Linked DNA regions of Arabidopsis thaliana. The protein of the gene in region 4 interacts with the protein of the main gene of each other region in a pairwise test. Each region holds a gene or a part of one and is shown on either strand. Other genes may lie near its edges. The genes, in order: AT4G13540, AT5G02050, CRF11 and CIPK22.

Region 1 (7,515 bases), on a different chromosome or scaffold from region 4:
GGGCAATCACTGTTACCATGTACAACTTTGGATCTCCAAGAGTAGGCAACAAACAATTTGCTGAAATTTATAATCAGGTCATATGCTTCTTCTAACATAACAATTTTTAGTTGAAAAGTGGGAGTGAGATGGCACGTCGTCATAAAACCTCATGGTTTATATGTTTTCTACGTTCGCAGAAAGTAAAAGACAGCTGGAGAGTTGTAAACCATAGAGACATAATTCCCACAGTCCCTCGCTTAATGGGCTATTGTCATGTTGCTCATCCTGTTTATCTCAGTGCTGGAGATGTGGTAAGCCTGCCCTTTGATCACACTATCTAATCTACTCAGATCATTATTTCTTATTTTTCCTTCGAGGTGCTATTCTATGCGATTGTAAATGATTCATGCTCCTAGTTGTGTTGTCTTGCCTGTTGTCACTGGAAACATTTGGTCTTCTATATAGCAACTGTCATTTGTTTGATTCTGTCTGGCTAAGTATCTAGTATAACCTGCAAAAACGATATGTGATGTATAATATTTCTTTGAATGTGACTACCTTTTTGGCCTTACTCTGCAGTACGAGCTCTGTAAGTTATACAATATGATTTTCCAATATAAGGTGATTAAAATGTTGCAGGAGGATATTGAGTTCCAGAAAGATGGTTATCATGCTGAGGTGATTGGCGAAGCGACACCCGATATTCTTGTTAGTAGATTTGTAAGTGCTCTAACACTCTTTCTCTGGTTACTTCACATTTTCCTTTTGATCATGATTCTAGTTTTAATTTTCCTGCTTGTGTTTCTCATAAATTCTGCATATGTTTGTTGTTGGGTTTATGTATTTTTCATAGCTAATAATTTAATAGGGAAAAAAAAAGAGATCTCTAAACTGAATTATTTCCTAAGAGCTGCTCCTAATACTGTCCTATAATTATAGGTTCACATTTACTAGCAGCTATTTTATTGTGATGGCTTCATATGCGTCAATGAACTTAAAACTTGTTTTCCTTCTGCGTAGTCTTTTTCATACTATCTATCTTTTCTGGGATTCAGAAGCTTATGTATGGGTATTATTCAGAAGATGTAGAGAGGCAAAAAATATAGTGAAAAATATTCCTTGAACAAGAAAATGAGTGATTTCCTGACATGAGATTAAATGGATGTTTTCTTTCAGATGAAAGGTGAGAAGGAACTCGTTGAGAAGATACTTCAAACGGAAATTAAAATATTCAATGCACTTCGTGATGGAAGTGCCCTTATGCAGCACATGGAGGATTTCTATTACATCACATTGTTAGAGGTAGGTACTTTGTTGTTGCCACTTAAGCAATTGCTGATTATTGATAAGTTGTCATAACACAACGTATAACTCCATGCATTTTTCCTTTTTGTTTTCAAGAATTACACTGTGACTTAAAGTTAGAAAGATTCAGTCCCTCACAGGATAGTGACATTTAAACATCGCCAACCCTTTTTTGGATGGAGCATGTGTTGGTTTGAGACTGCTAGTAATTTCCATATCTCATTGGCATCATTTTTTGTTGTCAATCTTTTCAGAGTGTGAAGTTATATTACAAAACTGTTGAAGATCCGAAAGGCGTTGAAAGTACTACTATCCAATCAGTGGGAGAGAGCTAAGTGAGAGCATGTAGTGGCTCGCTTCAGCTGTATAGGATTCACACTGTATACTATATACAAGAGACAAGCATCCATTGTAATTATTTTATAGTGATCTGTGGTTCAGTCGTGTAAACTTAAACGTAGACATGGTATCAAAAGGGGACAAGATGGTTGGAATTTATCACAATGCGTATAGATGAAATTTGAACATTATACTCTCACTGCATGCTCAGGGAGACCTTGCAGGGAATGTTATTTTTGGCTAACAGGGACCGTTACACCTCGGACCTCGCCTCTCGGTTGGCTAGTTTCAGCATTATTTGCATCTGTGAGCTTTTCAGGAGAACAGCTGCGGGAGAAGTAAGTTATCTCAATCCTTAAGCTTTCGTTTGTTTTGGAACCTTTGCACGCAGTTCTTATTTTTACGTACTAAGTTTCTACATAATCTTAGATCAATTTGGAGACAACAATCTTAATCCCTGATCATTCACCGTTTTTCTTTTCCATTAGATTTTCTTGATGCTGGATATGTTACTTGTGAAGTATATACAACTTTCTTTAGCGTCATGAGATAGGAAAGAAATGGCTTATTATTGCTTGAAGCTTACTGAGTCTACTTATACAGCAATCCTTGTGGAAAAGTAACTTCAAATGACTAAAACAGTTATTTACACCCGATGAATTTTGTTTTGAATACTGTCAGGTTTCTGGTAGTAGATGATAGTGCCTTGTTCTTCCCGCTGCTACCGCCGAGGATACGCAGACTCTGTCTCAGTAAGTCAATCTCTCTTTCCTTCCCATTTTGTTGTTTCTCCATCAAATTTATTCTCCCTTTCAGTGTCTCAATGGTTTCTCCCCTAGCTTTAACTTCCTTTCTGAGTTCTTGCACTGCCTTTGCAACTTCTTCTTGCGGTTTCTGTCTCAGTGCCTCTCCTACAAAAGAAAAAAAAAACTCATTACCTTCCTTTCTCAAAACATCAAAGATGAGATTATTTGTGAAAGGTCTTACCATATGTTGTGTGGATGAGATCATCAAGCTCATTCTTGATAGCAAAGTAGAGCTGCTTCCACCTCTCCACAGCTTCTTCCCTCACTGCTCTCTCTAAACACATCTGTTCCACGACCCATTCCCACTCGTGTTGTTTCGCCTTTCCTTCTTCCTTCTCTTCCATCTTCTGTCTCAGCCTCTTCACTTCCTCTCTCAGTCTCTTCCTCTCTTTCCTCCACTCTGTCTCTGCCATCTTCAACGCCAAAATCACTCTCTCTTTCTCATCAAGCTCTCTTCTTGTTTCTCTCCTTCTCTGTTCATTTGCTTTCACCTTGATGCGTCTCTTACTACTGTTTCTCTCATCCTTGCTTGTAGAACCACCCATGAAGAAAAGCTCTCTTTCTCTCTCTATCTCTGTAGAACTTTTGTTCTATTTTGAATGTCTTGTTTGTTTCATTCAATGAAAAAAAAAAATGATTATTGTGAGTGAAGAAAGCTCCACTTTGCGGCATTGCAGACACATGTTATTTATATAATATGGTCCAAACCAAAAGCATCTTCACTTATCCTAAACACACAATAGGAAAATTATGGAATGTCTTATCACAAAACTAATCACACAAACACACATTGTGGCTTGAGTTGATTATTTCTTATGGAAACTGAGATAAAAAGACAAAAGAAGTTATGGGCACTCTCAGGACATAGTACTGAATAGGAAACAAGAGAAAAAGGAATTGAAGTGGTGTTACAGAATATGAAAAGCAGTGTTTTTTCTTCAATCTCCAATTAATGGTGTGGGCTTTGATTGTTTGTCACATGCATCATTAACATGGACCCATACCTATTTACTCCTATTTTTTCTTCCCAATATTTGTAGGTTTTATAGGTTTCTCTCAAACTTTTGGTCTAATTTGTCTTCTTCTCATGGAGGAAATTGTTACATAGGTCTTAAGTTATTGTCTGTGTTTTTATAGACCGAATCAAACATAGCAAACCAAAATTTGAGTATGTTACGTGAAGACAATGGGTAGATTTATCTTGAAGTTCGAATTTTGGTTTGCTTTATTTCCGTTAAACGTCAATAGTTAAACTTCATGAGTATGCTTTAGCTTTGGATCCTTAGTTCCTTACAATACTCACTTGTGATTTAAGTATGATAAGTGAGTATACCAAACTTTGGTGGTACAATGGTCAACGAATAATAGAGTGAAAGAAGACAAAGAAACAAGAAGAAGAGACATATATCTAATCACAATTGACATCGTAGAGTTTAGGATAGCTATAAAGTGAAAGATAGACTCCTACATGGCTACATCAATCAGAAACATTGCCCTCTTCACGTGAACTTCCCTGTTAATTTGGGTTTTTGTCTTAACCCTTTTCATATCTTAAAGAGTCGTACTTTCTAAATAAACAACCAAAATTCCGTTATTGGCTTTTGTCTTTGTACAATCTCTTTACGACACTGCCTACTAAGACCAGCTCAGAAGCTTATCAAGGTTAGATTCTGACCGCAACCTTCCAAAACTGCACTATGATTCTGATCCAATTTGTATTCCACCAAGCAAGTAACAATATATACACACACAGTACAAACTTACAAGCATCTTTTTGTATGTTTTTGTAACATTTTTAATACAATCATATGATACATGCACCAACCACATCAAATCATATAATCTCACATATATGCATTATTATGCCCTCAAATTCACTTAATTTTCACCTTAAACTCATCATGGACCACTGGTTCATACCCACTGATGACGGAAGTGCTGGCCGGATTATGGGCACACGTTTCACTACCGAGATTGCTTCGTTCCACCGAGCAGCATGATTCGCCACCTTCTGAAAAAAGTATTTCATTCAAAAGACAGACAATACAAGAATCAGATGGTGTAAAAATCTTCCGAATTGTGTTCTGAAATACTTAGAACTTTTGTTCTTCATTGCCATGAGTGAAAAAGATGAATACAAGTCAAGCAAGAACGTGAATTTCAGCAGCAAAAGACATATTTGATCCGCCAAGTTATATGCAACCGTAAGCAGGATTCAAACTTGGGTCCTTACTGAGGCTTTGTACCAGTGGAAGATCAGTTAAACTAAACTTTCAGGTTTTACCACTACTTTTATCCATTCCTCAAAGAAACATTTTACGATAAGATTCGTAATATATAGTAACTTCCATCTCTGGCTACCAACATGAAAAATCTACAAAGAATAACTACTGAAAACTAGTCTAAAGATCTTTCAACTATCCTTTAGCTATTAGAAAGAACATGCAAACTCAAAATGTAAAAATAAAAAATATGTTGTTTAAGCATTATAGGAGATGAAACAACAGAGAGGACGGACAAAGAAATAGATCACCCAGGTGGTATTCTAACGACTATTAACACTGCTCTCACCAACTACACATTCTATGCCAAAAGTATCTATCAAGAACTCAACCGATGCAGTGGTGCTATATCAAAAACCCTTAGCAAGATAGTGTAAATGGGTACGAGTGTATGCCTGTTGGTGAATACTATGACCTCGAGTCGCTGGTTGCATCTAAACTACTTAGCAACAAGAAACTGGTCCCAGGACAAACAAGGGGATGATCTGATCTTCTCATTTTCCCCATCAAAACAACAATTGACACTAATAAAACATCTAACTAAGCAGTAAAAGTTGAACTAAGCAGAGCTCATATCACACCAAAAGATCATACAGTAACCACATGACTCATGAATCAACATACTCAAAGAACAATAAACAATCAAATAAACCAAGCTAGTTACCTTATCATCCAAAAGAACCTTAAGCTGCAAGGAACGAGTCTTCTTCTTCATATTGTACAATCTACGCCCTAACATAACAAAACCCACAAATGCTGCAGCCATGGACAAAGACCAAATAGGATTAATTTTCAACACACAATACTTCAACACCTCTATTGGAATTTTCCACCACACAAACCCTTTCTCTTCTCCTCCTCCACCACCAGATTTAACACCAGGATCAATAGAAACAGAGTTTCCTTCTCCTTCCACTGGATGAAGTAAAGATTCTTCCTTTCTCTCATCAGAGCTTATCAAATCCATGTCTTGAGCTATACTTTCACTATATTCAACAATACCCACTTCGTTTCTCTCTATACCCATCTCGTTATTCACATCATCATCCACTAACCTCTGATCATCAAGCCGATCACTGCTTGAATCAGACCATAACTCACTAAAATGCTTCGGACCATAAGGAACATCGGAGCTAGGTTCGATCCATCCTGGACTACCCGATTGAACAGACCCATCTTCATCGTTTGCCTCCAAACGAGACAAACCACTCTGGTTCTCAAGAGAGAAATGATCAAACCTAATCATACCTTGCGTGCCATCATCAATCTCCTCCAAGCTCCTCGAATTGTCATCTTCCGTGGTAGATCTCGAGCTCTGAAGTATTTCCCAGTCTTGAATCTCTCCTTCCATGTCAAAGTTAGGGGTTTTTTCGATCCAATTGAGGAAAAGAAACAAAAGGAGTCTTTGTGTTGGGGCGAAAACAGAACCGAAACGCTTCTTTCTCTGTGTGGAGATCACAGAAACACTAGGTCGTGGTGTTAACGTGGCGTGGTGTGATTGGATAGAGGATGAAGTCAAAAGAGTGGTTTCGTTGACGTGTGGGTTTATGATAACTATATGGATTGACAGTGTATGTTGTTACGGTGGGCCGAGAAGTAGAGGACCTTCAACCGCTTTTGCTAATCAGATATGCTCAACTTGAAACTGGAGGGAGAGGAAGCAAACACGTCATATAAATGCATTTTGTGAAGAACATCATAATTTATTGATACCGAACCAAATCCAATAGAATGTATTTTTACTTTTTACTATTTTACTTTTCGTTTTTTTACTTGTTTTTTCTCGTTCAAATTAGGTGATCGATGAATTGATAATTTAATTGTAATCCGCGTAATTCATATTCCTTCGGTTCTATTTTGTTGATTTTGAAGAAAAAAAAAATTGTTTCAAAAAAATTGATTTTTTAAAATTTTTATGTAATATTTATTAGTTTTTATTAATGAATTGTAAACTTTAATAAAAATAATTAAATTTTATTGGTTTAAAGTGATAGAAAATTGTAAAACACAAAATATAATATATTTAAAATCAACTTTAATATATTTACTTTTGTGTGTTTTTTTCTAACAATCAAACAAAAAAAACAGAGAAAATATTTATTTATTTTTGCTAAGAAACATAGGAAATATTTAATATTAATCGAAACCCAACTTTTTTTTCAATAAATGTTTAGCGTTAATATCATAGTTTAACAAACATTCTTTTTTATAACTCAAAATTTTAGAGTTTAGTCATTAAACCAAGATGTGGAGATTTTATAAAGGTTGAGGTAGGGAGGAGAAGAAAGTTAAGAGGCTCATGGATGGTGGCTTGCAGAGATTTGGGAGTTTTTGAGAGAGTTGATGACGTGGCAACTTGAGAACACATTTGTTAAAAGGCTGAGGTGGGTAGTGTGAGAGGCCTCAAATAACTTTTTTTTTATTAGTAAGAGATTCTGAAAAGAGGTTACCGATATCTAATGAATTGCTATCGAATGTTGAAATCTCATGAAATTTGGCTACACTACATACATACGACTATAAGGCAAGTAACAAAGACTGCTAGGGACTGACAAAGTGACAAGTGACATCTTTATGCTTAGCCTCCTTTTCCTTTCTACCATAGTTGAACATCAAGCACATTATTTCCATCTCAAAACCGGCCCAGAGAATATAATATGACACGATGCAACAACAGAACTTGGCCAGGGGAATTATACACCCCCTCCTACATACCACAAGACAGGAATTATACACCCCCTCCCACATACCACAATACAACACACATTCAGAGACCACGAGATGGTGAATTTACAAGAAAT
Region 2 (7,440 bases), on a different chromosome or scaffold from region 4:
TTTTGGAGAAAGAAGAAGCATCGAATTAAATCCATTTGAAACAGGTTAGTTATCTTAGTGAAGAATATATCCATCAATCATAATTTGGTCTAGTCATTCGAAGTGGGATATGATTTGATACATATAGTCTAAAATATGATTTTATGCCAGTAATATTTTGTTTTCCCTGTCCCCTACCTATATCTAGAGCTTGAGATCCTCCTTTTAAAACTTTTAGATGATTAATCGTTTTACAAATCATAGTCCCAGACTTTCGTTCCAATCTAGATCGGTTTAGATGCGTTTTGTTTTGGAATTTATACAACGAAAACCAAAGTTTAGATTAAAAGATTCGAAAACCGGATTACATAAAATCTGGTCCAGGACCCCTTTGGTTAACGAAAACCAGACTAAAGGGCAGAAACGTCATTTGACAAAAAGAAGGATGATTCTCTCCTTCCTCTTTCCCCAATGCAAAGAAAAAGCATTATAGACTTTTCAAGTTTTCCGATATAAGCACGAAATCGCTGTTTCTCTCTTCGACGAAGCTTTGATAATTTGATCTCAATCGATCGATTCTATTGAGAATTTGTGTACCTGTTTTCTTATAAGGTTAACTAAGGATTGTGGAATCAGAAGTGTTGTGTTTTTGTGATCGGAGATTATGGATTGGGGAAACGTAACGGTTGATGATCTCTTCGATGCTCTCCGAGAAGTTGACTGGTCGTCTCCGCCGCGTCCTCCGTCTGAGTTCTTCTCAAGGTTCACCGTTCCTAAATCTGTCCCTAAATGGGATAGTCGCCTCAAGTGCAATCTCTACTAGTACGATCTCTCTCTCTCTTTCTTGTTCGCCAATTTCATATCTATTCGGATCTGATGTTGTGATCAATCTCTCGTTGAGAATTACCAATCAAATTCGTCCCAATTGAACATAGAATTCTTAGACTTTGGTTAGAACACAGAGTCTTGATAGCTTAGTTTCTGTATTGAGCTTAATTTTGACCTGTGATGATGATCTGTTTATGCAGCTACCGAACAAACTATTTCATCATGATCGTCGTTATACTTGGTATGTGGTGTGAGGAAGTGGCTAAGCATTATCATCTGTGTTGTTTATCAATGATGTCTTGTTCACTTAGAATTGTCAAATTTTACTTCTCAGGATTGGGAGTCCTTACAAGGCCTTTAGCGATCTTCGCTGCGCTTTTGACAGCATTAAGTTTGGCATTTCTAAATGACAGGTTTTTCTTCATCTTCCTTTTGTTTTTAAACTCTCAGAGCTTTGACTAGTGGATATGCTTGAATCAGTAGATCCATATTGAGTATTCTTGTCTACAGCTTTGCAGGTTCTTTTAGTGAGAAGGCGACACGAACCGTCAGAAGATTCTCTCCACAGTTAGCTGCTAAAATGAGACCTCCTTTGACGTATGTTTATCTCTCTTTGTTGCCTTTCATACTCTTTGTTACTCCTTGCTTATTATCATCTATGTTATCTGTGTTTTTTAGACCTGTCACTCGTGGGCGTCCATCATCAAAGAGAGCAATCCATGTATGTGGTCAACCCCGTTGGGTTTTTGTCTTGACATGCTCACTTGGTATGTGGCTTTGTATATTTTCATTTGATGTAATATATCTCCAAAAACCGTAAAAAACATGATTTGGAGTTTTTTTTTTGTTTCGCAGTGAGTTTTGCTCTTTGGTATATTTCCTCTGGTTTGCTCAGAGTCTCGGTTGCGCTACTCATTGCACATCTTGGTATGCAGTCTACACAAATCCTCATAAGTCATAACTTAGTTTCTCTCACTCTACTTCAAAAATCCACATATAGGCTTTTATAAACTCAACCTCTTTTTGTAATTTGTGTTACAGCAACAATTCTTCATGCAAGCTTGAGAACACCGAACTTGAAGGCACGTTTTAACACATTTAGGGAGGAATTCCGAGCAGTATGGCGTAACTACAGCGAGATTTAGAGTAATGTAAGTTTGAAATATCTTCTTCTTAGTCTAACATCTATTTGCTTAACTGGATGGTTAGATTTTCTGAAATGTTGACAGTCTTTGGCAGCTTGTACCACCATGATCGTGTTCTGCTGAGGACATAACGCTGTAAAGACCAAACTTACTGCCTTTCTCCAAGATAAACCCGGTTTCGTTAACACTGTACTATGGATGTTCAATCTGGATTTGTTGCTCAATGACTGGGATCATCTGTTTTTTCTTTGATTTGAGATTTGAGCTCTGAGCTCTTTTTGCTAGCAAAATCCTCTCTTTTTTTTGCTAAAGACTTGTAAAGCTAGCTTTGTTGTTCTTCGTTCTAACACAAAACCCTTTGTGTAAAGTCCTAGAATCGTTTAATAGCTTGCATTTTTTTCTTTCTTTTTTTGGGTTGAGAGGTCTAGTAACAATAATAATGAGATAACAAGAAATGGAAAATAAACAAATGATTTGACTACTTAGCCGAGAGTTTTCGGATAAGAATAGGCAATGGGAAAATGCAAAAGAATTATACTTTATTGAGGTCGTAACATTTTTTCCAACTGACACTCGAAAGAGTTGCATCTTATATCTAGCAAAGTACCTAAAAACCCATTAAAAACATGTAGCAATATTGTTAACAAGCATAACACATGACCTCACTTTCAACGATTGCTCATGGTGATATCAAGTTCATCTAAGATAAACTCAAAAGTTTAAAGCAAAAAGAAATCTCGCTCTTATTCTCTGAACAAAGTTCAGTTTCACTTCTCGACAAAAGACTTGAGATCCTTGAGCCATTGAAGATACTCTCTGCTATCTTTGTTGGCCACATAATCTGCCAGAAAGGTAGTGAAGCTTGGTTTAATACCTCTGATCTCCAAGTACCTGTGGAAAGCCTTCTGCAAATTCTCATCCAAGTCACTGCACATAACACAATAACCAAATTCAATCACATAACAATACCCCAATCTCATATATTCCAAACAAGAACTCACTATCATTGAAGTAAACTTACTCAAAGTCAGGTCCTTCGTAAGCAAGGTCATTATCAGATCCTTGCGGTTGTTTGATCGATAAACTATCAATCACAATCTCATCCGGGTATGCGCTGACTCCAAACTCAAGACACACACCATCACCTTTCTGCACACTAACAACCATCGGAACCCGGACTTTACCCGAGCTCTCTTGATCTTCATCGTCTTCTTCATTGTTTGGTTCTGCTTCCTCTTCTTCATCTTCATCATCATAAGAAGCAACAGAGTCAACTTCCACTTGGATGGTTTCATCCTCAAATTTCCTTGTCAGCAACACAGTTCTCTCCCCTGAATTATCAATGATTTCAAATGGAAACCCTTCTGGCTTATCTTCCAACTGTTTTTCCAAAACATTTCTAATTCAGATACAATTGTTCTAAACCCCAGAAATATTAAAATCTCATGAATTCGAGAAGAATCATGTATATTGAAAGAGAGAACTTACGAAGTCAGTGTCATGAGGAGCCTCCTCTGCGACGGCGCATTCGATTTCAGATTCGATAACGCTAACAAGATTCTCGTCGGCGGTTGTTTTAGAGATCGCACTTTCCGTCGAAAAGCTCGAGACTGAGAATGAACTAACCGATCCACGCCTGATCTGGTGGCTACCACGAATCAGCCTCTCGACGGAGACAGCGCCACTGCGGAAGCTAACCGGAGATCTACCCGCACGGAAAGCAAGATTGGCTACTGTTGACGAAGCTCGACGAAACACGGTGCTCAACGCCATTTCTGAGGATTCTAGGGTTTTCCTTAAAAGTGAAAAGAGAAACAGAAATGAGGGTTTTACTGAGAGAAGAAGAGAGGTTTAAGGTTTGTTTATAGTGCAAAGCATTATGTAGGAGATAAAAAGCCATTTAATAAGGCCCAATTACTTAATGGGCCATAAGAAGCCCATATATTAAAAGGAATTGGTCATTCGTACAGTGAGAGAGGAATGTCTGTGTGTGGACACGTCCTTAAAGGCAAAAGGAGAGAAGAACAAAATAGCTCTTGCCGGCGTCAGAATTGCGTCACTGTTTCTTCCAACTTCAATTTTAATATCGTTGGCTTGAAGTTAAGGGAAACATAATTGTTCCTCCAAAAAAGCAGAATTAAATTTGTGGTAGATACTTGTTTTTAAATTCATATAGCTCAAAAAAGTTGTCATTTTTAATGTTGGTTTTCTGGTGGCGATGCTCTTAATTACCCAATTCCGTACGATTTATGATCATAAGTCAACTTTTGAGATTTGGGTTTGTGAAATTTTCCTGAATAAAATTATGGGTTTAGGGTTTTTATGATCAATTTCCTGTAAAGTAGCGATTTTTTTCTCCCGGGGATTTTGGTGAGGAACAGGATAGAAAGTCTTGGTTTTGTTCTGTTTATTGTGTTTGTTTTTGGGTTCTGATCAATGAAGAAGATGATTGGGAGTCCTGGAACAATGAGTGGGTTGATACTGAGACTAGGGCAATGTGCAACTGCTGCTGCTTCCATTGGTGTTATGGTTTCTTCTTACGACTTTTCCAATTACACTGCTTTCTGGTAATTGTCCATCTTCAATCTCATTGGTCTTGGTGTTTTGGTTTAGTTTAGTTTAGTTGAAGACATTGGACACTGATGTATCAAAAATCTTGACTTTGTAGTTTTTTCTTGGATAAACTTTTGAAGATAGAGCTAACTGAACTAGTAATTGTGTATGATTAACATTTGCCTGAAACTTTGACAAGATTTTTTTCTTTGTTTGGTAAAAAATATGTGGAAATGGAATTATTTCTATATTTCGATTACTGTATGGGGTTATCTCAAAAGATACAAAATGATGATAGATTGCTTTTGCCAATGATTTCAGCTTCTTAGTCGCATCTATGGGTCTTCAATTGATATGGAGCTTTGGACTTGCGTGTCTTGATGTATATGCGATAAGGAGAAAAAGTGATTTACGAAGCCCTATCTTATTGAGCCTTTTCACTGTTGGTGATTGGGTATTAAACTTATCTTCCATTTCATTATATGCTTATTCACTGTTGGTGTCTTGTTGTTTTAAAGGTTATTTGTTTGATAGGTTTCTTTTGGAATTCTGCAGGTCACTGCACTTCTCGCTCTTGCAGCCGCGTGTTCCTCTGCAGGAGTTACTGTTTTATTCACTAAAGACACTGAGTTTTGCAGGCAGCAACCCGCTCTCTCTTGCGATAGGTTTCAGATTTCTGTTGGTTTATCTTTCTTTAATTGGTTTTTAGCTGCTATATCGTCTCATACCATGTTTTGGATCTTGATATGATATCAAACAAAACCCATCTCAATGATTTTACAAAAATCCATTTCTATGAATTGTTTTTCTCCAATCCATAACCGGAAACAGGGCAAGGGTACAAGTCATTTTGGTAATTTTCTAAGACAGCTATGTCTCAGTAACCTCTTGTGACAGAATATTGATGATGTATTCAATCTCATCAGCAACCTCTTTCATCGAAGGTCGGTTTTGTCTCCGTTCGTTAAGGCACGCAGATGCTAAATTCCCGAGCTGCTGTATCGTCTGCATGTCAATCTTGTTAGCTGTCTTCTTCAGCAGTGGATCGATGCATTCAGTCAATCTCTCTTGATCCATCATCTTGTTAATATACATCACCAGGTTCACATCTTCCTCTTCTCTAGTGAAATCTATCGCCTTCTTCGATGTAACCATCTCCAGAAGCACAACCCCGAAGCTGTACACATCGCTCTTATCAGTTAGCTGGAAATTCCGGTAGTATTCTGGATCGAGGTATCCCAATGTACCTTGCGCACCCGTGAAGATATGGCTCTCGTTATTAGCGGTTTCTGTCAAATCCACAAGTCTTGACAGCCCAAAGTCTGAAACCTTGGCGTTTAGCTTCTCGTCAAGCAAAATATTGCTTGACTTTACGTCGCGGTGGTAAATGGGTGGCTGTGCTGCGGAGTGGAGATAAGCTAATCCTTCAGCGGTTTGGTATGCAATCTGCAGTCTGCGCCGCCAAGTCAGCGGTTTCCAAGTACGGTCTGAACTGCCATGGAGATGTTCGAACAGCGTTCCGTTGGGAATAAACTCGTAGATCAAGAGAGGCAATTCAAGATCAACACAGCAACCGAGAAGCCTAACTAAGCTTCTATGATTGACTTGGCAGAGAATCCGGACTTCGTTTAGGATCTGATCAGTGCCTTTGGTGTTGTTAAGCTTTGCTCGTTTGATCGCGGTTATGGTTCCATCCTCAAGAACAGCTTTAAACACTTCTCCAAAACCTCCAGTGCCTATGAGATTGTCTTTTGAGAAATTGTTGGTTGCTTTCGTGATTTCTCTGCCAGTGAAGATTCTTGATGATTTTCCAGTGGAATTTGCGCTAAGCATCTCTTCTCGCTCCTTAACAATGTTCTTGTGGATATCCTTTTTAACCTTTTGGTGGCTATGTTTGGTTCCAATTACTGCTACCGCAATCGCTAGCGTAACTCCCACAACCGCAACAGCCGCACCTTCAAGAGCAAAGAAGTTAAAATGGAGTACAATCATATGGGCATTTGAATATATTTTTGGTTTTTCGGTTCATCCTCTGTACCTGCGAAAACAACGGTCTTCTTCTTCTTTTTGCAGTGTTTCCCATGGCGACATTTACCACCTAATACATGTATGCCAAGAACTAATCAATCACAATGATCTGATTCAAGAAATTTGTTTTGAATAGTTCACTTGTTATGCAGTTTACTTACATATTGCGTTAACCGGATCCCATTCCAAACCTTTTTTGCAGGAGCATCGTTTCAGGCCGAGACTCGTTGGATCAGGCAAGCATTTTGATTTACCCAACAAGAGGTTACAATCTACATCAGTTTTGCAAACTGGTTCTTTAGGCAATGCCCATTGCAACTCGAGCCCCGTGTCAGGCCATTTTTTCCCGGGAGGAGGAACCTCTTTGTTTGGATTCAGCCCCACGAAGCTTTGGTACGCGAGGCATCCCCCACCGTTGATCCTGATCGTGTAAGCGGTTTGAGACCCGTCGGTTCTGAAGGTGCAACACAAGGGAGCCTTAGAACAAGGTGATGCATTGTTCTTGATGTAGCTGTAACATAAGCTGGTAGGACTACAATCTATTGGCGCCTGCAGACCCCAAAATCTCTTGGTCAGTCCTGAAAACCGGGTTCCATTACATTTTAATCGAAATCTACTTTCATTGAACCCAAACCTAATAACCAAACTAAAACTGATCTCAAATTTGATCATAAACCAATATGTTCTACAATCTTCACACCAAACCAACTAAACTTTTTTGCTTTACCTGCAGCATAGCCTGAGAGCAATTAAGGAGCAAGATAGTGTTGCTACTAGTGATGCTGAAAGGGAGATGGGGGTCGAGCTCGAGGCCCTGTTTAGAGACATCAGCTGAGATACAGGATACTGAGCTAGCAAGACCAGGCGGGCGTAGAACGATCCGCTGGGTCACTGAGTTGATGGACGT
Region 3 (8,227 bases), on a different chromosome or scaffold from region 4:
AAAAGAATACACAAAATAACCTTGGACCAAATAGTATTTGTCGGCTACAGAAATTTTGGCAATAGTTAGTCTATTTTAGCCTTTCTCTTTCTTCTTCCTTCTTTTGTTTCTTTTTCATCTTCTTTACGAGACTTTAGCCATGGAGTTCTCTTTCTCTCTTCATCTTTAACACAATTCATCTTCTTCAGATTCACCATGTCATTTTCTTTTTCTATTTCTCTCTCCCTCTCCTAAAATAATCTTCACCACCTCTCATAAAATATATCATCATATCTCTTTATTTTGTTCACCTACATGTTCTCTCTTTCTTTTTCCATAGAAATCTCTCTATCTCTCATTCTTTATTTTCTCTTTTTACCTGAATTTTCCGTCAATGTCGTTGTGATATAAGAGATTAGATTTGATTTTAAAACAAATGTCTGATTTTAAAATGCATGTATTTTAAGAACAAAACATGTTATTAACACTGATATATTAATATTTGTCATGCTATCCAATAAAAACTCATGAAATAAATAAATATTTGTCATGTTATCCAATAAAAACCCATGTAATATTGTAACAATTCTATATGTTTTTTTAAACTTCGCGATCTATAAGAGAATTGCATGCTTTTTATAAATATTTCGTGCTATTTCTGAGAAACACATTATTTCAGAGAAACATATATATCGTGTATATATATTCTGTATGTATTTTAAAGAATTGCATGATTTTTGTAAATATATCATGCTATTTTAGACAAATACATATAAACTTTATAACTAAAGCCAATGGCATTATTGTAAAAATAAGTAAACACAAGGATATTTTTGTATTTTCTCTTTTTCAGAAAATGTTATTTACCTAACTTTTCTGACACAATGTCATTCTCTCAATTCTTTTCCATTTCATAGTTAGTTTCTAATATTACCCATATTTTTATATACATAGAGATCTATATTTTTATAATTTAACAAAGACCAAAAAAATTTGGCCAAACAACAAATAAATAAGGAAGACTAAGAACTTGTGAATTGTGATCATCGTTAACGTGGGGAAGATTTTCTTGCGATTATTATTCCTAGTCTTATTTATTTATTTATTTCCACTATCAATTTAAAATGACACGTAAATTTGTAATGATTTTTCGAATAATGTAAGCACTAATTGATATTGGTGTTTTAACTTTTAACAAAAGAAAACAAAGATCTACATATGGGCCTAAAGTAAAAGCCTTTTAGTTAAGTACATTATAATTGGGCTTTATATCTTAACAACGTCGAATCAATTGTAGGGCCGACGTGGGCGGCTAAGCTGTTTCCAACTTTCCAACTTCCGACCAGCTCCACTTGTGTCTTTCGCTCTCTCTACACTTATGTTTTTTTTTTTTCAACTCTCTGTTTTGTCTGACGTGTCCACTTACTAATAATTTTTGAAAAAACTTTCCACATATAAAAATTGCTTGATGGTCGTCGTCGATGGCTGCATTATTTATGAATGTATTAGTCCACATGGTGAAATGTCTACATTTTAAACACCACGTGACACTGATAATCCGACACTTGTATGTGTGAAATCAATGTAATGATCCCTTACTCTTTCTTTTTTGTTTTTCTTTCAATAGAACAAAAATATTGCGAATTTATCTAATAATGTTTCTGTAATACTAAAATTATTTTAAAAGTTTTTATTTAATATATTGTTAATTTGTCTAAATTTTGTCACGACCGTTTTTCTTCATGAATAGTCTTTGACGTAGTTGAACATCCATTTTGTATACACTGTTATAAATTTGCACACATTTTGTGTTTCAACAATTTTTAAAAAGTATATATGTAGTGTACAACTTTACTTTATTATTGCTTTACTTTTTTTTTGTCTATTGTCGTTGAAAAATGACATCAAATGAATCTGTTGCCTTCCTTACGTAGGAAACGTTTTGTTGAAATAGTAATAATTAGTAAGGGTCATTGTATATTGGTGGAGAAAATGTTTTTCTTACTTCTGTAATTGCATCGTCTTTTCTTCACGTAGGGTAGGCAATCACATGCATTCAGGCGTGCGTTCACTGTTTTCTTTTTTCTTCTAGCTTTTTGTTTTCCTACTATATTGTTGCAGAAAAATGTTTAGTTTAAACTAAATTAATTATCCAACTCTTTAAAGTGGCAATCTTGTAAATAAAAAGGGGAGTAGGTCTGGACCAATGTGGCAATGCGAGCGATATGTTAAAAAAGCTGTGGAATAAACAAAATTTTGGAAATTAGGAGTTCCTTTCGTTTTATGGAATTGAAAGAAAATGACACTTTCAATATTTTTTTGGTATTTCTTTAGTAAAAAATGTTTTAAATTTTTAATCGATCGAATCGTAATGAACCTTACAAAAAAATCATAAAATTTGAAGTTGATATATAAATTTTAATCTAGAGATGTTAACTTTTTGGATTAATCTGGAAGCGACCTGTTTTAAGTTGTTTCAAAACTATTAGGACCGAAACCAAATAGAATCGAGCAAAAAATGTTAGAAATTTTTATTTTATTTTGTGTTCTTTAGGTTAACCAAATGTTCGTTCATGGTGTAAGATATCAAATAATGGATGAGCTTAACCTCTAAAATACAAGTTTAAATTGATCGGTTCAAATCGGACCGAACTTAAATGATTTTGCAAGTTATTAGAGTGATCATGATCATGTTATGTTACGGAATATTACAGAGTAACTTAACTTAAGCACTGACTTAGTTGACCCAAAAAGAGACCATTGACTTCATGAAATGCTTGAGTGTGGAAAAAATAAAACAGAGTTATTCAAAAACGTTTTGAGTTGTGAATTATTCTCATTAACATTGTATTTATTTGGTGCACAAAAAAAAAAAAAAAAAAAATTGTATTTATTTATACCCACTAAAGATGGGAAGAAGACTTGTAAATTATGATGAAAAGTCCCTCGGTTGGTAGCAACTAGCAAATGTGGGGATGGAACAATCCTCCACGTTCGAAATTGTTCTTCTTTAGCACAATCAAGATACTGCAAAGTAAACTACCTCTAATGTAATTAATTAACCTCACAAATTGTTATGTTAATTAATGGTATTGAATTATACTCGTCGATCTTTTGTAAGATATTTTTGTTGAATGCCGAAAAAATTATCAGAATCTATAATTGATGTTTTTGTTTAAGAGTCAATTTGGGAGAATGAGTTAAATTACTATAGAATACAAGTATACATCACATCAAATAATATGAATAATTCACTAAACAATGAAGGAGTAGTTACTAGTCACTCTCTTTTATTTATTTTTAATTAAAAAACGAATATATATGTTATTGTAGTTTAATACTATTAATAAAATAAAATTCTATTACTTCACTTAGCTAAAAGACCCACAGTGCAGTAACAGTGAGAAGTAAATTTCATGAATAATGTATTACAATACAATAATAACTTGTTCGATACAAAGTATTATTCCTTTCACAAACTAAATTTATTTACCATATATCCATAATATAATTCCAAAAATAGTATGTTTTATTACCATATTGTAAAAGGGAAAAATGTCATTTAAATCATCACTTTACCATTTTCGTTGGTTTAAAACATAAACTCTCGATTTGGTGATTTAAATCCTCAATTTTATGTTGACGTTTAATTTAATCACGAATTCTCGTTAACTAAGCCAATTAAGACACATCGTTAAAAAATTTTCTAATTAAAATTTTTGAGTTTTTCTCTATTTTTCTTCAGAATCTCTTATCTTCTTTGGAATTTCTCTTCTTATTCGAATTCAAAGTAATCTTTCATCTTTAGGTCGATTGACGATACCGGGAAAAAAAATTGTGTCTCAATTGGCTTAGTCAACGAGAATTTGTAATTAAATTGAAAATCAACATCAAATTAAGAATTTAATTCACAAGATCCAAAATTCATACTTTAAACCAACGAAAATGATAAAGTGATAATTTAAAAAACATTTTCCTTATCCCTATTGTAAAACTATTTTCACCAATCTTAACCGAAAAAATGAAATAAAACTGTCCAAAAAAAAAAAACCAAATGCTAATAAAAAACGAATTTAATTTCCCATCTTCGTTTTTTTTCTTTCTTTTAATGCTTTAATAAATTTTTATTGAGATCTGTGTTTGAACAATCGTTTCTTAAAAGATTTTTAACATCTTTTTAAATTCCTCGGTCTCTTAAATTTACCAGTTACATAACTTTCTTTTATTTTTCCGACATAAATTAAAAGTTTTGTCTTTGGTAATAGAGAGGCAGAAAAATCTTGGCCATAGATTTGTCATCTGTTTTCGATTCGTTTTGATTCTTTACTTTATCTTCTTCTTCTTCTTCTTCTTCCTCTTTTTGAATCTTTTATCTTCTCACTTTTCTTTTTCACTTTTGGGAAGCTCGAAGAGCTGAGAGGAGTGTGAGAGAGAAAAGGATCTTTGAAGTCGCCGGAATAATTTGTTTAACCGGAGCTCTGTCTTTGACTCTACGCTTCTCTCTCTTCTTCTTCCTTCTTCGTCTTCTTAATCGCTTTCTGCTCTGTTTTTCTCGTTCATCAAGCTACATCTACTAGCTCTCTCAGTGATTGATTTCTCACAGTTTCATCGATTTCCATGCGTTTAAGACCTAAAAGGTAACTGGGTTTGCTAAAGTTTGTTACTTTGAATGGTTTTTATAGTTTCTCTGTTCGAATCTGAAGTGGGTTGTTGTGTTTTTGCTGGTTATTGAAACAGGACTTGTTCTGGGGTAAAGGACTTTTCTTGTTCTTGAGAGAGTTCATTTTGAGGCTTTTCTGGGAATTTTGAGAGGTTTTTTAGGGTTTAAGGGGGTTTGGTTTTGAATTTCGCACACCAAGTGTTCGATAAAATGGCTGAACGAAAGAAACGCTCTTCTATTCAAACCAATAAACCCAACAAAAAACCCATGAAGAAGAAACCTTTTCAGCTAAATCACCTCCCAGGTTTATCTGAAGATTTGAAGACTATGAGAAAACTCCGTTTCGTTGTGAATGATCCTTACGCTACTGACTACTCATCAAGCGAAGAAGAAGAAAGGAGTCAGAGAAGGAAACGTTATGTCTGTGAGATCGATCTTCCTTTCGCTCAAGCTGCTACTCAAGCAGAATCTGAAAGCTCATATTGTCAGGAGAGTAACAATAATGGTGTAAGCAAGACTAAAATCTCAGCTTGTAGCAAAAAGGTTTTACGCAGCAAAGCATCTCCGGTCGTTGGACGTTCTTCTACTACTGTCTCGAAGCCTGTTGGTGTTAGGCAGAGGAAATGGGGTAAATGGGCTGCTGAGATTAGACATCCAATCACCAAAGTAAGAACTTGGTTGGGTACTTACGAGACGCTTGAACAAGCAGCTGATGCTTATGCTACCAAGAAGCTTGAGTTTGATGCTCTGGCTGCAGCCACTTCTGCTGCTTCCTCTGTTTTGTCAAATGAGTCTGGTTCTATGATCTCAGCCTCAGGGTCAAGCATTGATCTTGACAAGAAGCTAGTTGATTCGACTCTTGATCAACAAGCTGGTGAATCGAAGAAAGCGAGTTTTGATTTCGACTTTGCAGATCTACAGATTCCTGAAATGGGTTGCTTCATTGATGACTCATTCATCCCAAATGCTTGTGAGCTTGATTTTCTCTTAACAGAAGAGAACAACAACCAAATGTTGGATGATTACTGTGGCATAGATGATCTGGACATCATTGGTCTTGAATGTGACGGTCCAAGCGAACTTCCAGACTATGATTTCTCAGATGTGGAGATCGATCTTGGTCTCATTGGAACCACCATTGACAAGTATGCTTTCGTTGATCATATCGCAACAACTACTCCCACTCCTCTTAATATCGCGTGCCCATAAGTTTTGCAGCTAGGTGTTATTATTAGCTATAGGAGCAACGTAAAAAGCTCGTTGTTACTCGGTTTTGTCTTAAGTTATTAAAGTATAGCAGAGGCAGTTAATCTCAAGGGAAGCAAAAACCCTAAAGATAGAAGCAGATGCAGTTTTGTGTGTTGGTGTTACTAAAGAAAGTTTTGTTGACATAATGGTTTTGATGTTGTGGAGAAGATAGAGAGGTGTGATCGAAATTGTAAATCTCAGGTGGTTTTTTTTGAAGGCAATTGTTTCTCATTTAGGGTTTTTTTCTATATGAGGATTGTCTTTGAAAAGCCTTTAGATGTTTTCTAATTCGTAAGCTCTCTCAATCTTTGTAAGTTTTGCCTGTTGAGTTATTGATACATATGTGAGACCTACTTTATTTGTTTTGTGCTACATACATTGTTGATGGTTTCGTCCTCTGCTCTTGTTAAGTCATTGTTACCAATGTTTGATTGCTGTTTCTTTCGGGTTGATTCAGTCAGACATGAAGATAACTAGATAAACCGTTTGTTCTCTGCAATCACTACCTATAGAGTTAGGGTTTAGGCTTATCCTCTTTTTGCATTATATCAGTAAAGTTTTCTTTAAAAGTTATGTGAACAAAAACACATAATGCAAGATAGAGAGGTTAATGGGTTTGGTTGATGATAACAGTAGGACAAATTATCACCGCTCTAATTGCGTTGGTTCTTAAACCATTTCTTTTATAATATTTAATATTTGATCTAATTTTCTTAAAGCAACCTTTGCGTATATTACAAGTCTTGCCAAAATTTTCAACTAGTTCCATCTTTGATATAAAGAGTATATAGTGGTGTGTTCTTTTGTGTCAAGCCATCTCTCAACTTCAGACTGTAGCTGCTTTTGGATTTTATTAGTTTCGTTTTAGTGAACAGAATTATGGATATACATTGAATTGAACGTGCATATTCATTTTGTTTTTGTTTTTTCAACAAATTAAAATGAATTCTAAGATGTTTTTGTTTTTTTGTTAATTGAATTCTTAAGATGTTGACAGAAAATAAATTGAAGTCTTAAGAATAATTGATTTGAGATTTTAAGACTTGTACTTTTCTTTGGAGATTGGAGATTTGACATGCTCGAAGTCGATGTATACAATTTGGTTTTTTATCAAGTGTCATTCTCATTCGATGGAGCTTTTTTTTTATCAAAAACGTGGAAATTAGTGATTTCTAATGATCTGAAATAAAAATTGGGTTTACTTCCATGGTTTTTTTTTGGACAAAGGGGTTTACTTACGATCAAGCAATCAATTACATAGTTATTCTGGATTAGTCATTTGGTAATATTTAGCATCTTATGAAGAATCTTAAACACGTCCATTATACAACTAAATATGTTGCACCATTTGATGGAAAAAAAATATGTTGCACCAAAAAAATGATCCAAGATGTTGAAACTTGAAAGAAAAAATCGAATAATAATAACAAATAGGCTTTCTGGCTTTCTATGTTACTGAAAGGCCCAATGCACGTAAACGGAGAGCCCACATTACAAATTAATAATTTTTGTTGGGCTAGTGAGACCATAACGCTATCATACGTTGTAAATCTGTACAGCAAGTTAACAATTACAATAATAATCAGATTTTACACTCTTTTATAGATAAGTCATGGTCAAGACTCAAGAGTCAAGAGTCAAGACCAACAATCAATGGCCTAGCTTGTACAACAAAAGACTTAAGGCTATATAGTTTTAATCAATTAGAGTCACATAATTCACAAATATCAACGATTATACAACGGTTGTTATTGAGTAGTTAAAACATGGTTGATATAGATTAGTGAGAAAATATTGATTGGTTGACAATATATGAAAGTGAAATTATCAAAATGATATTATACATAAGTTTTTAAAATATATCCAAACTCATTTTTATTATAATTAGAAACTTTTTAAAAAATATAGACCGTATGTGATCTATTTTTATGAAACTTAATAACAAAATTTATTTGAAAATATTAGATTGTAAAAAAATAATTATTCATTCTGTAGTTTCCGGTTAAAAAATGTGCAGAAAGATGAGTTTTTAGTTTGTGGGTTCAGTAACATTATAAGCTAATATTTTTTTATTAGTTGATTACATATTATTCAAGGATTACATATGTTGATGAATCCTTTAATTTACTCGTGTTAACAATAATCCGTAATTTTTTAAGACGTGAGGGATACATAGGAGAGATTTCCATCGAGATGCATGGTTGTTTTTGATTCCCTCACTCCTGATAAGATAAACTAGAATACGTTTCGACGTCAAAATATTTAAAGATTTGCTTAACTGAAAAATAAAGAGAATTTTGTGGAATAGGTCAGAACTATATTTTTAAATTAGCTAAAGGA
Region 4 (7,427 bases):
AAAGAAGCACACACACACACACACAGTGACACAGGGAGACACAGTGACAGTCTGACAGACCCAAATAACAGAAGTTGATATCAGCTATAAGAACACATAAAAGAATTGACATTTACATGTATAACAAAGATCACAATGGTATATAACTACTGAAGCACATTATTGCAAAGAGATCTTCAGATAAAAGAATGAGTGGAGAGTTTGTAACCGGAGAAGAGAGCAGAGAGAGCTAAAGCAATGAATGCGAAGATAGCCATACTTATAGCAGAAGCAGCAGAATCAGTGAAAATGTTATCTTGACCTTCTCTGAATATGTTTGTCAATGGAATTGCAGATGATGCAGCTGATATAAGCAAATACGCCACAATCTGCAAATTTCACTTTTTTGCATAAAAATCATAACTTTACATATATAAATCTGAGAATTGATAATCAGTTTGTGGCATTACCTGGTCGCCGGAGAAATCGACCAAAATAGAAGTCCGGCGATCGAAAATTTCCCTTTTTGAGAAATGTGCAAATGTTTGCCACGCAGTGTATAATGTTGAAATAATCGAAATCGCCAATACATATCTGAAGCAATATAAGAAATTTCAAAACTTTGATCGATATTACGCAAACCCAATTTCAAATTCCAGTATCAAAAAACGGAAATCGAACCTGTACTCTTCGTAGTCATTGAAGTTTCTACCGTAACCATGTTTATTAGAGACCATAATTAAGAAAGCAATAAGAGAGAACAAAAGACAGATTCCTCTCGTAATCGGAGATGCTTTCTTTATCAAATCCTCTCTTTTCCATCTCTGAGTAATCGTCGACGTTCCAGATGCCGGCGTCGGCTCCGACGTCTTCTCCGCCGCAGATTCCACGTCAGTAGCTTCAACCGGTTTCATGTTATCGGGATTCGTCATATTACAGATCTCAAAACTTTGGTCGGAATTGGTTCTGTTTTTAATGCGAAGATTCGGGACGAGGAATAACAAACTTGGAAGAAAAGAAAAACTGATTAGTTTTGGAAAACGTAATTAAGGTTTCGAGTTTTATATGTTAAATTGAAGAAAACGCGTGGTGGCGGGAGTGATTTATGGTAATTGGTAAGCATTAAGCAATGTGATTAAGACTAACAGTTCTGTGTCATGTGTGTTAGTTAATCGTGGCTTGCATTTAGACAGCGAAGCATGCTCATTGGTCAGGATCATTGTGTTTCATTGGTATTATTTTTAAGAGATTTTTCTATATCTATTTATCTATTCTATGGTGATAATGTTTTCTAATCTATATGGTAATATATGGTTTTAGGATTTGGGATGTTTAATCAATTCCATAACTTTTGTGCTAAGAATGGAATTGTTCTTCACAATCTTTTTATGGAAAGCTTTATATCAAAGTCTGATTGGAGAATTTATGGACAGTTGATTTGTTTTTTTTTTCTCATTGGAAGATTGTGTTTTCTGTATAAAGGAATGTTAATTAACTTTATTACATAACAAGAGTTGGAAACAAACATTATAAAAACTGAAATTTGTTATTTCTTTTTAGCAAAAAAAAAACAAAAAAAAACAAGTTCATTGGAAATTACTTGGAAATAGATTGTTGTCATTTGTCAATATGAAGAGCATAAGTAAGAACTTCCATAAGTCTAGATCAATGATGTGTGCATTAGAAGTACCAAATCATTCGAGGCAGTTTAAGTTCCCATTCTAATTGGACCAATGACGAAGACCAAGGCAAAGAAAATCTTAAAGATGCTTTCAATGATAAGGGGATGATTCAAGACTTGTTGAGTCCACTAGAGAAGTTACCTACGGAGTTCAAATCCAATCCATTTTGAGTCTATTGTCCGACCAATAACTGTAAAAACAGTTATTTCTGTTTTGTTCTTAGCTCAACAAATATAACAACAATTTTGATCTTAATGGAGGAAGAAGGTTTTAATGTGAGAGACTTGTAATGGCTTTGGGAACTTATTAGAGTTCACATTTCACAACCTTTTTTTTTATCGAAAAGAAAAATAAATAAATAAAACTTTATAGAGTTCAACGTGATGATACAATTATCAACATTTGCATTGACCACCACCACACTAAATCTTCTGAGCTTGGCGTTAGCGTCACGTCGAGTTACGGTAGGGTCGTGTGTTTGACGTGAGTTTGAGATTTATTTTTTGTTTATTTTAATGTCATTTGTTTTTCAAAACACACAATTTAACTTTGCTAATTTCATAAGAGTATACTTATTTCTTATCTCTGATAGCTTCGATAGACTTACCATACACTTAACACGTAATTACCGACAGCTGATATTGCTTTATAACAATCCTCTCTCTCTTTTTCTATGACGTCGACTAATTTAATTTGCATAGTAAGTTTTTTAATGGGATCACACCACTATCCAAATAACATAGGTTATCTAGTTCTGTTATAGAAAGTTACTGAATATATCTATGTCAAATCAAATGTATGCGTTGGAAGCTATAGTTTTTGTATTTCTAAAATTAGCATTGGACCACAAACTCCCCAAAACAAATAAAACATTGATGCTTTGGCTAGAATTTTGTGATCTATCTTATAGACTTGTACGGTTATATATACCAATCATGTTTTAACGGAATTGCCAAGTGGTAATCAGCAGTGACAACTATTCGTTAATCTGTAACATTCATATATATGTTTTTAATACAAACTCAAATAAACATTCATACATAAAAGATCCTGAAATACTTCGTACGATTGCCAAACAAAATCAACAACGATAAATATTACAAACGGTGTAGCATGTCCCTTAGCGCAAAATAAGGCCCAAGTTTGCAAACACACACGGTCACACATAAAAGGCTACAAAGTTCAAATCAGAGTTTTATTCAAATTCTCTCCGATGAATAAAGCAAATAATTTTTGTGTTTAAATTATACTCCGAAAATAAATAAACAAAAATAATTGAATCCCGGTTTGTTTTTTTCTTTCTTCTTGTCATTTTTATATACAAAGAGGCGGATCGTCCCATTACTCTCCCTGCTCCAATGTAAACCGAACCGGTTAACCACAATGCGTCTCGATCCCGAGTGTAGTACGTTGAAAATTCTAAAAGTAAAACGCACGGATTGTTGGTTTAGTGTTGAAACCGTTTTACGGTTTGTCAGGAACTTTATAAACCGGTTGGTTAATCAAACGACGTAACTTTTGTCTAAGAGCATCGGCCCAAACCAAGCCCACGTCTCTTTGCTTGTTCTTCATCTCCACCATCACTAGTTCATTTGTTAGCCGGCGAACTTTAACGACGACATTAGCTACTCCATGTGGACCTTCAAGCTTTATCGCTCTCTCCTTCTTCTTCGCGATTCTCAAATTTAACTGCTTCGCAACTTCCTCGACCTTCCTCATAATAACGGCCGTACTCTCATCGGATACAAACTGGTCGCAATGATCCGGCGTCACGAAATTTCCAAACAAACCGGAGAGATTCGAGCTCGACGCCGAAGAAATCAAATCGAACGCGTTTAGAATTTTACCGTTTTCTTCCAGATCGTAATCATCGGCTTGGATTCCGATGATTTCGCTTGGATCTACTCCATGATTGAACCACGGATCCTTTAGAATCTCCTCCACGGTGATTCGCAGTTCCGGATTTGGCTCCAAGAGACGGCGGAGGAGTTTCCGCAGATCTGAAGATGTCCAATCCGGTAACTTGTATTGAGCCTTGTGGATTTTCCGGTAGAGTCCCATGATGTTTGGATCACGAAACGGCAAGTAGCCTGCGTTGAGAAGAAACAAAACGACGCCGCATGACCAAATATCAGCTTTAGAACCGTCGTAGCCTTTCTTCAAAAGAAGCTCCGGTGCTACGTAAGCCGGAGTTCCACAGAGCGTATGTAGCATTCCGTCGGGGTGGATCTGCTCCTTCATCGCACTGAGACCGAAGTCTGAAACCTTCAGATCTCGATTCTCGTCGAGGAGGAGATTCTCCGGCTTCAAATCACGGTGGAAAACTCCTCTTGCGTGGCAGTATCTCACGGCGGAGATCAATTGCCGGAAATATTTCCGGCTAAGACTCTCTGTGAAACGGTTGCTGGTGACTCTTGAGAAGAGCTCACCACCTTTGGCTAGCTCCATGACGAAGTAGATCTTCGTCTTTGTGGCGAGGACTTCGGAGAGGAGCACGATATGAGGATGACGGAGGCGGCGCATGACAGATATTTCTCTCTTAACGTGCGCCGTTAAACCGTCTTTCAAACGTTTTTTTTGTACGACTTTGATCGCAACGCTTTCGCCGCCGTTTTGAAGATCCTCCGCTTGGTAGACTTTGGCAAACGCGCCGCTACCGAGGAGCTTACCGAGATCGTACTTACCGAACAAAGCCGACTTATTATCATCTCCGGTGACGTTAACAATGATTGATTCGGAAGAATTAGAGTCTTCGGCCATTAACAAACAAACAAAAAAAACAGAGCAAAAAAACAGAGTAAAGAGAAACAGTCTAGGAATTGTAAAAGACATGCGCGCGGTGCCTCTTCTTATTGAAATTCCTCAACTTGCCACGTAAGTAAGCTATTATTTTAAACAAAGATTTTAAAATAGTTTGACTTTATTATAAAATGCATTAAACAAATAAATGAAAGAAACAATCTTCACAAAAGACAATTTCAAAATGCGATAACATTTTCGATTTTTACTAATTTGAATTAGTTGCGATATATCAACCAGGTTAGAGATAGAGTCATTTTCTCCTGAAATAATTTACGATTCAAGGAATTTTCATGATTCTTTCCCCAATGTGTGGTTCATGTTGTTGTTACCAAACATCTGCCTTGTCAGGTCAACCAAAACCTTCTAATTCCAGGTGGGATTTAAAGTCTTAATTTATTTGTTTTTGTAGGAGCTGGGAAAACTCGACATATTTTTTTTTTTTAAACGTTCATCGTTGACAAAAATAAAAACTTTATCAAAAATAAAAAGAACGTCTATATAAAAATATTTGAATAATGTGAAAGAAAAAAACAACGTGGATTGACGTTACTTTGTATAGAATGCTAAGCAGTATACATGACGATGTTTTAAGCTTCTTTACCGGTTAAGATGGTACTTTAGTTCTGAGGATATGATTTGGTTCTTAAAACATAAGAATATATATTCATCAGGTAGAAGTGTACAACCAAATCAAGACAAGTGAACCGGACCAAATTTTATGTGAACTATATCTCGCAACATTGCATGTGCATGTAAAGATGTTTAGACACGAATGTTATATCGTGGGTACAAATCAACCATCCTTAATTCTGATGAAATTGTTGGTCTTTAACCGCATCCAACCGTAGCAACCCAATCAAACCAAGAACATTATCCAGTCAATAAATAACCTTTAAATTTGAGTGACAAAATAATAACATTTAAATTTGAATGTTGTTTGAAATTCAATGCCACATATAATAATTACTTTTTAATAGCTGGAAATTTTGTTATCTAAGGATTAATGATGGGCAAATTAAGTTTTTCTTATAATTAATTTGAAGTTGGATTCGTGGATCCAAGTCATTCGTGTGTGGATTAAAATCATACTAGTACCCCTTTTGTTGTTGAAAAAGCCAAAAAATTAATCCTTACACGTGAACTTGTTCAAAACATTATCATAAACCTGTAAATTTTTGACCAAAAACAAGAAACCTCTAAAAAAAGAATTAGGAAATATGCAAAAGCAAAAACTCGACAAAGTAAAACGAATAAAGAAAACAACTCTTGCTCATTCATTCATGTGTTCCAATATGTAGGTGTTAGCTTTCGTAACGGTATTTACTATCTATTTGCCTTTTAGTTTATTGACTTTATCTGAATGAAAATTAACACCTAACAGTCGGCAGTAATACCCAACCAAACTTCAAAAGTTATCTCGATTTTATCGTACGGTCACACAGTCATTTAGACTATGACATCCGGGCGTCATTGTGGAGTCATACCCAACCGGAAAAACCAACCATCGAATCATCACATCGAATATAATGCCCAACCGCCAAGTCAACTTATTTATGTGCTATATCGATCCATTTAAAAACATCAATTCTTTTGAAAAACAAATACATCACCATTGCTTTATTATTGAATATTGATCTTCTCATTGTTATCGTCATCAAGAATAAAGACATCTACTTCAAAGAGACACCGTCTTTACCACCGTGATGGTGTACGTCAGCCATCGACATCGTCCGTACACCCACCCTCACTCTTAATTTAAGACGTTTCTTCTTTCTCACGCATCGTCATATATTGTGTGATTTCTTTAAAAATGTTATTAAAAAAACTCTACGAAGCAAAGTTTGTAAAACCAACCGTCAGAAGATTTCTACGACATTTTGTCTTTGTTTACGAAAAGAATTTAACAAAAGCATAAAAAAAAAAATTGATGGTTTTATGATTAGACAAATTTTTTGATCTAACTCAAAAAAAAAAAAAAAGTCACATATTGAGGCATTGCTTTTGCTATTTTCTCAAAGTTTTAATTAGGACATTACATTACATCTTTTTTTTTTATGACAAATTATTTTATCTCAATTCACAACCCCATCAGAAGAGAGGAAGAACGTATTCAAGAACACACGAATTGCTTACAATGAAAATTTGCGTTAATATCCAAAGTCGATATGAGTCCAAACAAAGGAAAAACTCAATCAGTTCTATATTGGCATTCTTTTTTTAGGAGCAACAAATTTTTATGTGTTGGGTTTACATATACAACCGAAGCTTACACCTAGTAGATAAACACATTTTACCCGTTGATCATCCACGATTCAAATGAACGCATCCCTCCCACAAAAAGAAAATATACATATATGAGTATTCTAAGCGGCCATTCGTGATCCATAAATCCAAAAACATTGGAAGAAAAAAAGTAGGAGGAAAGCAGTGAAAATCTGATGGGTTAAAGAGAATGTTTTGGAGGTTGTTGCGATAGAAGTGTGTGATAAGAAAAGAGACATGCACTTGAGCTCTACGGAGAAGGAAGTGGGCGAGCCATATGCATCAGGATGATAGATGATTTCTCCTTGACGACATTTGAATTCTCCTAAACTCCATTCCTATAGTTCCATAGATTTATTACAAAATTACTATACAATTGATTGATCACATCATATAACAAATATATAGTATTAATTTAAGTGTTCGTTCATACCTCAAGCTGACGACCAAAAGTGACAAGGATAGTGTCGGGATCAGCATGGAAAGAAAGTGGACCTTTCCCTGAGTTGACGCGGAACTCGCAGTTCTTAGCCGGAAGGTGAAGGCTGAGTGTATAATGAAGCATTTCTTCGGTCCTCTCTTTGGGCAAAGGAGGGCTTTGCTCAGTTACATTTTCATGATTGTACCTGTAAACGCTAAGCACAGATTCTCCTCTTTGTATCTTCTTATCATTTGGTCTTCTTGAGTTCTCTACCATTATTT

What was found.
Region 1: the proteins of CIPK22 (region 4) and AT4G13540 interact in a two-hybrid assay, tested with the Arabidopsis thaliana proteins (one large-scale study listed by BioGRID).
Region 2: the proteins of CIPK22 (region 4) and AT5G02050 interact in a two-hybrid assay, tested with the Arabidopsis thaliana proteins (one large-scale study listed by BioGRID).
Region 3: the proteins of CIPK22 (region 4) and CRF11 interact in a two-hybrid assay, tested with the Arabidopsis thaliana proteins (one large-scale study listed by BioGRID).

Annotation. Positions count from the first base shown.
Region 1 is NC_003075.7:7,865,358-7,872,872, reverse strand, and holds AT4G13540 (golgin family A protein), read right to left. Parts: upstream 3,554-7,515; 5' UTR 2,978-3,553; coding exon 2,614-2,977; intron 2,538-2,613; coding exon 2,269-2,537; 3' UTR 2,083-2,268; downstream 1-2,082. Other genes in the region: AT4G13550 (putative triglyceride lipase), read left to right, coding at 1-77, 180-293, 622-702, 1,159-1,284, 1,542-1,622; AT4G13530 (uncharacterized protein), read right to left, coding at 4,318-4,443, 5,379-6,065.
Region 2 is NC_003076.8:400,520-407,959, forward strand, and holds AT5G02050 (Mitochondrial glycoprotein family protein), read right to left. Parts: upstream 3,828-7,440; 5' UTR 3,726-3,827; coding exon 3,441-3,725; intron 3,333-3,440; coding exon 2,974-3,332; intron 2,880-2,973; coding exon 2,720-2,879; 3' UTR 2,460-2,719; downstream 1-2,459. Other genes in the region: PRA1.A1 (prenylated RAB acceptor 1.A1), read left to right, coding at 644-801, 1,008-1,048, 1,142-1,220, 1,318-1,404, 1,486-1,574, 1,663-1,734, 1,849-1,952; AT5G02060 (Uncharacterized protein family (UPF0497)), read left to right, coding at 4,389-4,519, 4,827-4,959, 5,061-5,255; AT5G02070 (Protein kinase family protein), read right to left, coding at 5,376-6,460, 6,544-6,603, 6,695-7,082, 7,261-7,440; AT5G02065 (uncharacterized protein), read left to right, coding at 6,190-6,612, 6,736-6,966.
Region 3 is NC_003074.8:9,471,203-9,479,429, forward strand, and holds CRF11 (Integrase-type DNA-binding superfamily protein), read left to right. Parts: upstream 1-4,209; 5' UTR 4,210-4,616; exon of another isoform or gene 4,617-4,716; 5' UTR 4,717-4,849; coding exon 4,850-5,848; 3' UTR 5,849-6,388; downstream 6,389-8,227.
Region 4 is NC_003071.7:16,110,784-16,118,210, forward strand, and holds CIPK22 (CBL-interacting Serine/Threonine-kinase), read right to left. Parts: upstream 4,422-7,427; coding exon 3,126-4,421; downstream 1-3,125. Other genes in the region: AT2G38480 (Uncharacterized protein family (UPF0497)), read right to left, coding at 177-368, 450-573, 661-911; AT2G38500 (2-oxoglutarate (2OG) and Fe(II)-dependent oxygenase superfamily protein), read right to left, coding at 6,827-7,063, 7,159-7,427.